Rattus norvegicus: one gene and its partner. The protein of the gene in region 2 purifies or fractionates together with the protein of the main gene of each other region. This does not show direct contact. Links are inferred from orthologs where the notes say so. Each region holds a gene or a part of one and is shown on either strand. Other genes may lie near its edges.

Evidence for each region.
Region 1: the proteins of Mzt1 (region 2) and Tubg1 purify together in Homo sapiens (affinity purification with mass spectrometry; 4 studies listed by BioGRID and IntAct, counting the BioPlex papers as one, with this or other methods). This does not show direct contact. The link is inferred for Rattus norvegicus from reciprocal best matches to the Homo sapiens genes MZT1 and TUBG1.

The regions. Positions count from the first base shown.
Region 1 is NC_086028.1:86,551,561-86,556,081, forward strand, and holds the start of Tubg1 (tubulin gamma-1 chain), read left to right. Parts: upstream 1-1,582; 5' UTR 1,583-1,695; coding exon 1,696-1,744; intron 1,745-2,046; coding exon 2,047-2,159; intron 2,160-2,366; coding exon 2,367-2,534; intron 2,535-4,319; coding exon 4,320-4,388; intron 4,389-4,521. Other genes in the region: Retreg3 (reticulophagy regulator 3), read right to left, coding at 1,044-1,282. UniProt on the Homo sapiens protein: Tubulin is the major constituent of microtubules, protein filaments consisting of alpha- and beta-tubulin heterodimers. Gamma-tubulin is a key component of the gamma-tubulin ring complex (gTuRC) which mediates microtubule nucleation.
Region 2 is NC_086033.1:82,198,650-82,202,461, forward strand, and holds part of Mzt1 (mitotic-spindle organizing protein 1), read right to left. Parts: intron 1,758-3,812; coding exon 1,612-1,757; intron 1-1,611. UniProt on the Homo sapiens protein: Required for the recruitment and the assembly of the gamma-tubulin ring complex (gTuRC) at the centrosome.

The DNA of each region.
Region 1 (4,521 bases), on a different chromosome or scaffold from region 2:
CTGAAGTTCACTGTTGGAACATTTGCCCAGCATACACAAGGTCGCCTGTTCTAGCTCCAGAACTCCAACATACATACATACATACATACATACATACGCACACACACACACTTTTGCTTTTTCAGGTAATTCAAGATAGTCTTATCTCTTTTGGTTGTAGAGGCCTCAGTACACGTGTCAGTTCCCTTGGAATTTGATCAGTATTATGGTTATTAATAAACCCAAACTATGGTTGGTAGACTCGATGAGGGCCAAACCCCACTCCCAGGTGGTTTCATTATTCAATGAATGAAACGCACACTTTAACATAAAGCCACTTGTCCAGCTAAAGGGACTCCACGGTTCTCAGATACCCTCAAACCCCTTGAGCCTTAAACCATGGCTAAGGTCTTCCTAATTTCTTGGGAGAAGAGTTGCAAACCTAAGTGGCTCTGAAACAAATGAAATCTCATCAGCGTTCTGTAATTCTTTTTCTTCTTAATACCATCTACTTTTCTTTCAAGCTGAAACTCCATACCGACTTCACCAACTTGACTGGGTGAGACAGTATCTAACATGCTAATCCATGATAACCGGCTCAAGCTTGTTTTCCTCCTACACCCCTGGGTACCATTTTTCAAGTCCTGCTGCCTCTCTTCCCACCCTAAGTTAAAATCTCTGGGAATCACACTGGGACAAGCAAGAGAAACGGAGGAAATAAGTCTCAAAGTGAAATCGCTTTCTCTAGCTAACAAGAGGCACTCTGGCTTACTGCGAGCGACTTGGGATGTTACCAGAAGCTCGTGGAGAGTGTCCGGGGCGAGAGTGGGGGCGCGGGGAAAGCGGGGAAGACCGGGGAAGATCGGGAAGGCACTGCGAGCACCCGGGGTGCCAAAGCCTGGAGGCGGACGTGATGTAGGGGAAAGTGAAGCATCATAAGGCAAGTTTAAGAAGCAGTCAGGGCAGCGAAAGAAAACAGGGCAGGGCAGGTGAGAGATAGATCCCCCCAGAGCAACCTGATGAATTCCCGCCTAGTAGGGTCAGCGAGGGTCCAGGTCTCTCACCAGAACGCCGCGTTCAGCCCCAGGCACCACAGGGCGCTCCTGGCCGGCCGCTCCCACACCAGGGCTGCCTGAACCCGGCTCAGCAGAGGCTCGTAAGGCCCCAGCACCTCTACCAGGGCTCGCTGCGCCGCCTCAACCTGCTGGTCGCGCTCCCAGGAGCCGGACATAGCTCGGCGGCCCCTGAAAGCCAACCCCGAAGATGGACCCGGGGCCGCGGCCACCCCTTCAGCCTCCTCCATCTCCCCTCCAGCAGCCACAACATCCGGGGCCACGGCCCGGCAGTCACAATAACACCAACTGCGCAGAAGCGCGATTTAGCTGCGGCCGGGAGGGGAAGGAGAGGGAGTTGCTAAGCCTGTTCGTCCCACGCGCGCGTGCGCATAAACTCCTGTGCGCATTCTCCGGACGGAAGAGAATGTTGCGTCAAAATACGTTCCGGGCGCTGAGCGCGATTCGGAGCCGCGCACGCGCAACCTGCACTACTGAAGCCCAATGAAGGAGGAAATTCCATCTGCGGAGCTTAGCTCCCATTGGAGCGGGGAAAGATCAGGGGTGGAGCGCATTGCCTAGCGCCTGCGTCTTGCGGGCGAGCGCGCTAGCGGTCGGCGGCGTTGCTGGCGGGAGAGACTGCAACGCCTATGTCTGAGGAGCGATGCCGAGAGAAATCATCACCCTACAGTTGGGCCAGTGCGGCAATCAGAGTGAGCGAACCTCCAGACCCTCTGCCTGCCAGGTTCCTTAGGTGCAGTAGGGCCTCGCAATAAGGTCGTAGATTCGGTCTGTCCTCAGAATCCTAGTTCTCCCCGACAAAGGCGTCCTCCAACCCTGTACCCAACTGCCCAAAGCCTATGAACCTTCCCTTGTCCAGTTGCTGGCCTAGACACTAGGAAGTCCCAAGGATAATCTTGATCCCTAGACTCAGGCGTTCAATCCCCCACTGGCTATTTGGAACCTACCCAGACCCACGTATCCTTTTTCTTCTCCTCCCGCCTCCCTCTCTTAGTTGGGTTCGAGTTCTGGAAACAGCTATGTGCTGAGCATGGCATCAGCCCCGAGGGCATCGTAGAGGAGTTCGCCACCGAGGGCACTGACCGCAAGGACGTCTTTTTCTACCAGGTGCCCCCTCCCCCGAACCCACCCCAGTGACTTGCCAGGTCCCTGGGGACATGAAGGTACTGGTGGCGACCTGGTACTGGGAAAGTCACTGGGCAGATGGGAACAGAATGGCTGTCTTGAGGGAGGGCCTGCCGAAACCAGAGTTGGGGGACTCAGGACTTGACTCATCCTAGCTCCCTGGGCCAATCCTGGCTTTCCCTTTGACAGGCAGACGATGAGCATTACATCCCCCGGGCTGTGCTGCTGGACCTGGAGCCCCGGGTGATCCATTCCATCCTCAACTCCTCCTATGCCAAGCTCTACAACCCAGAGAACATCTACCTGTCCGAGCATGGAGGAGGGGCTGGCAACAACTGGGCCAGCGGATTCTCCCAGGTCATTACTGTTCTCCTGCAGGGCTCTCAACTCCTTGGGTGGGCACAGACCCTGTGGTTTTTCTACAGATGAAACTAGGTCAGAGGAGCATGAGTGCTGAAGCAAGATAGCCTTGGCTTCAGGAGCTAACTGCAAGGCTAAGAACCTATTCTAGCTAGTCCCTTGTTGCAGGCCATTTAAGTACTTTATATGTTAGCTTTGCAAACCTCTGACTAACCCTAGATGTAGGCGCTGTGAGTTTATATTTTATCTACTTTTTCAGACTCAAAAAAACCTGAAACCAAAGATATTTCAGACTTCGCTTAGCAAAACCAAAAATCAATAGGGAAAGCTACATTGATGTTTCTAGTCAATGCACTGTCATCAGACGTCTCACTGCAGAAATATTAGCATATCTGATAGCACATCTCAGACCTCCACCGTTGTATGGGTAGTATTGTTTATTTTGTAGCTTCTAGGAATGTGTTGAACATCACACACTAGACAAACTTACACTGCTGAGCTAGACATCACATCCCCAGCCTTCACGTGGTCTTTTTGTTAAATCCGAATATTTATTTCTTTATTTTGAGAGGGTTTCTCTGCGTAGCCCTGGCTGTCCTGGAACTCACTGTGTAGGCCAGGCTGACCCCAAGCACACAAAGATCCACCTGCCTCTGCCTCCCAGATGCTGAGATTAAAGTGTGCACCATCACTGCCCAGCTGATATGCAGTTTACATTTGTATATACAAAGCTACCTTTCGGAACCAGAAGTATTTTGATTTCTTTTTTTTTTTTTTCTTTTTTCTTTTTTTCGGAGCTGGGGACCAAACCCAGGGCCTTGCGCTTGCTAGGCAAACGCTCTACCACTGAGCTAAATCCCCAATCCCTGATTTCTAAAAATAGCTGGCACCATGAATATTACATGATGGAGTGTGGACCTCTGTTTACCTTTATTTTATAAATGAGGAAACTGAAATAGATCCCTCTTCCTGAAGTCACATGACTAGGTGACTTCAATTGGTAGAAAGAATGCTTTTCTAGGATGTATGAAGCCGCGGCTTCAGTCCTTAACACTGCATAAAACTGGGCAGCCTGGGGGCTGGGGATTTAGCTCAGTGGTAGAGCGCTTGCCTAGGAAGCGCAAGGCCCTGGGTTCGGTCCCCAGCTCCGAAAAAAAGAACAAAAAAAAAAAAAAAAAAAAAAACTGGGCAGCCTGATACTTACTGGAGGTGAAGCAGAAGAGCCAGTATGTGAGGGTTATCCTCAGCTAAACAGAGAATTAGATGCCAGCCTTGGCTACATGAAACTCTGTCTCCCAAAAAAAAAAAAAGAGAGAGAGAGAGAGAGAGAGAGAGAGAGAGAAAGAAAGTAGAGCCCTTGCTAGCATAAGCAAGGTCCTACCCGGGCTCCAGCAGTTCAAACCTGAGTGTGAACAGATCAGCTTGGTTGGGTTGTAAATTACTTGCCTGTAACCACTGTTGTAGTACCTCTCAGTGCAAAGCAAGGCAGCTATGATGCATGTAAGACTCAAGGGCAGAGGGCTGGACAGACAGCTCAGCAGTTTAGAGCACAGAGGTCCTGAGTTCAATTCCTAGCAACCACATGGTTTCTTACAACCATCTGTAATGGGATCTGATGCCCTCTTCTGAGTGGTGCTGTCTCTTGTCATATAGGCATACATATAGAGTACTCATATACATATGCGTGTGTGTGTGTGTGTGTGTGTATAAATAATCAATGGTGGGTACACTGAGGTCAAGGTCAATTCCTGTCCCACCTCACCCTCTTCCATATCTGTCCAGGGAGAAAAAATCCACGAGGACATTTTTGACATCATTGATCGGGAGGCAGATGGCAGTGACAGCCTAGAGGTGAGTGTCCCAGGAATGTCAGTGGAGGTGGACATGTAGAGACTTGGCAACACCATTTAGAAATCCCCTGCTCTGGGCCGTTGAGATGGCTGAGCAGGTGACGATGCTTGCATTCAAGCTTGACAACCCAAGT
Region 2 (3,812 bases):
AGAAAACATTTAAAAAGCTGGCTCACACAGTCTTTGTCAGGCAGCTCGAGTTAGAACTCCAGTCTACCACTTAACTATCAGTGGCTGAACTGCATTAAAAGCAGCTTCGGTGTCCTAAGCGGCACATTACTGTCACGGCATGACTAGAGGAAGTAACGCCAACACAACCTGAGCCTATGGCTCTCTAGTACCAGGGAGTACTCATTTAACTACCACCACTTACTTCAGAGTTTTTTACATCCTGCTGTGACAGCTATAAACTGAGTTTTTAAAAAGATGACAAAGAAGGCAAGTAAATTTTAAAAAAGGCTGGGCAAAACTGTATGAAATACTCAGAAGTGCAATTAAAAAAAAAAAAGGTCCCACCCATGCTCCTTAACGAGAAATGGCTGAAATTAAGGCTCCCAGGGATGACCGCTGACAAACATGAAGCAAAGGCAAAGGTGTGAGGTGGTAAGGTACAAATAAAGACACCTGTTCTGGGAGAGCTTGGCTGGATGATCTGTCAGGATGGTGACACACATCCCACAGCCCAGGCGTTTTATGCCTAGGTACATGGCTAAACACTGCACACGTATAAGCATGAAGAGACAGGAGCTACAATAATGCTAAATAAGGCTCGCAGTAGCACAACTCAGCATCCACTCTGCACAGAGAGGTACACTGCTGTGTATTTGTGGAAGGAAATGCATTTGCACGAAAGGACACATGACACCGTACACATTTATGTATGATGTACATAAATGAACACTGTAGACCTAACAGGAAAGGGAAGAACCCAGTGGAAAGTGTAAGATTCTGTTTAAATGAAGCGTAAACTTGTTAGACGTCTGGCTCAGTCAGTGAGACTGATGAATGTCTACTTTAGAACTCAGGATGCTGGGAGGGAAGTGAGAAGGGGGACTGTGGAGGAAGAGGGATTCCTACAGTGCTGGCAGTGACAGCCGTGGTTATGGACGGCTCTCTCTGTTTGCGCACGTGTGTCTGCAGTCAGCACCGGGTCTTCCAGTCGCCTTCCAGCTTGGTTTACCAAAGAGAAGACTGTACTGACTGGTCTACACTAACTGGCCAGCAAGCCCCCGGGACTCCACCCCCACCCCCAGTCCCACCCCCACCCCCACCCCCAGTCCCACCCCCACCCCCACCCCCAGCTCCAGGAAACATTCCTGAACCCGGACTCCTATTGGATGCTGGAGATCAAAATCATGTTTGCATCTCAGAGACTTTACTGAGCCATCTCCCCAGCCCCTTCTGTATCTCTAAATCAATATTTACTCTGTAAATATATTTGGTCTACTTTTTTGTATTGGGTTTAAAAATCAGAGACCACACAGATACTATTTTCAAATATGGTTAGATTCATTGGTACCAAGGATTAGAACTTGAACTTAACATTGGGCACTAGGCTCAATTCTAGTCAACGCAGAAAAATTCTAAAAATAGTGAGAAATTTCGATATCATGGTGTATCAATAATTTTTCTGGTCTGAACATTCACCTTCTGGTCTTGAGACTTTCTCCTGATAGCATTAGAAGAGATTTTTCACACAACTTGTTAGTTGCTTCTAGATATAGTCTTTTTATTTATAACAAACTAACATGCAAATCTAACCTTGAGTGCTTCTGTACCCTTGCGCAGCTCCTTAATAACAGATGATAAGGCTTCTGGGTTGATTCCTTGTTCACAAAGCCGTACACAAATAGACAGCGTTTCCATATCTAAACCGGTATTCAAAATTCTTGAAATCTCAAGCAGTACTGAAAAAGATAAACAATTTTTAAAAAGCATAAACACTAAAAATAAAAATGCATGTAGCACTTCTGTTCTTTTTCGTAAGGGACTGTACAGGTTTTATTTAGGCATATTTATGTATATACATGTGCATGCAGTAACAACTGGGAAAGCACTCGAGACCCTGACTTTGAAGGAGAGCAGGGACAGCACACACCTATGGGAGGGTGTGGAAGGAAGAAAGGAAGAGAGAAATATGGTAATCAAATTATAATCTGAAGAGTTAAAAAGATAAGTTAAAGACTTTGTTGGAAACACTTTGACATGATATTTGTAACTTGAAATTCAACTCTTTTCATTCATCCTTTTAAAAAAAATCTTTTACTAGGTTATTGTTCACGTAATCTGAACAATAATCCTGGTTCTGGTTTCCCCTCCCTCTACTCCTTCCAGTTCCTCCCCTCTTTTGTATCTCACTCCCTCTCCATTAGCACTGGGAAACAAACTGGCTTCAAACAAACAAGGAAAAGAGCGCAGGAAAAGGCACAAGGAGGAGTCAGAGACCCACTCCTTTGGATATTCAGAAATCCCACTTAAAAAAACCAACCAGCACTAAAACTAGAGCCAGAATATACACAGGCCAGGCGCAGACCATGCAGGACCTGGGCATGACGCTTCACTCTCTGTGAGTTCATAAGAGGTGAGTTCATTTGATCTCGAGGGCCTGTTTCCTTGGTGTCTGCCTCAGCAGGGTTTCCTGGGCTAAAGGTTTTGATGCAGATAACCATTCGGGTCTGAGTCTTCCAAGCACTCTAACTTCTGCATAACATGTGGCCGTGGGTCTCTGTAGTTTATCTGGTCTCTGTAGTTTATCTCCCTTCCTCACACTCCAGAGGACGCTTCTCTGATGCTGGCTAAGCAACTGAATGACTGATGCACTTGTGTGTATGTGTGGGTTCCCATAGGCACAGTTTACAAGCAGAGGTCTGAGAACCACTTACAATTCACTCCTTGCACCATGTAGGTCCTGGGGAACAAATTTAGGTAGTCAGGCTTCCTGACATGGCGCCTTTACCTAATAAACCATTTTGCCAGCCTGGTGCCTCAATCTTAAAAACTTAAAAGATAGCAGCATAACATGCCTTTGATGGAAATGCCAACTTCTCACCTCTGCGCTGCCTTAACAGTTAAGCTTCTCTGCACACTTCCCAACTGACATAATACTGTGGTAACTGTGATACATCTGTATGTACTAAATTTTATTTCAAAACAAATTCTAAAAGAAATACTCAGCAACATAGGCATTTAAAGCTTTAGAACCCTTCATAATTTGACATAACTGCATCTGTTGGCCTTATTAATAAAAGCTTGTATAAACTTCACTTTTAAACTTTGTGTATTTATTTTATGTGCATGAGTGTTTTGCCTATAGGTATGTATGAGCACAACATGTGACCCTAACTTCATTTTCTACTGCGTTTCTTGGTAACCCATTAAAATATCTGTCTTCAACATGAAAAGCAGCAGCAGAACCTGGGTTACCCAAGGGCTTTTCCGGGGACCCTCTCCTTACAGGATACACACAATTACATTAACTTTGTTACAGAATGGTTGTTTCTAACAATGTGCTTAGAATTCACACTGACTGATAACGGATTACCTGTTGTACACATTCCCCTTGCATTATACTTAGGACGTTATTTCCCATGCAAAGAGAATTTATCATTATTCTGGTCCAGCACTTGAAAGTTGACTTCTCCCTTTCAGAAACATTTAAATATTCAATTCCTGTAGTGTAGGTAGAAGAAAAGACCCTTTCTCCAGAAATAAGCCAGTTACACCACAATATAAATTGTTGGATGATATACCCTTTCATCACTAAACTGCAATTGCTACCTTTACTACATAAGATGTTCTCAGGGGTCTATATAGCATATTTGTGTCATTCCTATATCATTAATTACTAATTTTATACTGCACAGAGTAGATTAAATACTTTTGCCACTTTCATGCATATAAGCCTTTTTTATTCTCAAGGTGAAGTCAGACATTTTCATGAATTTCCAAAACAAGTTTATTGG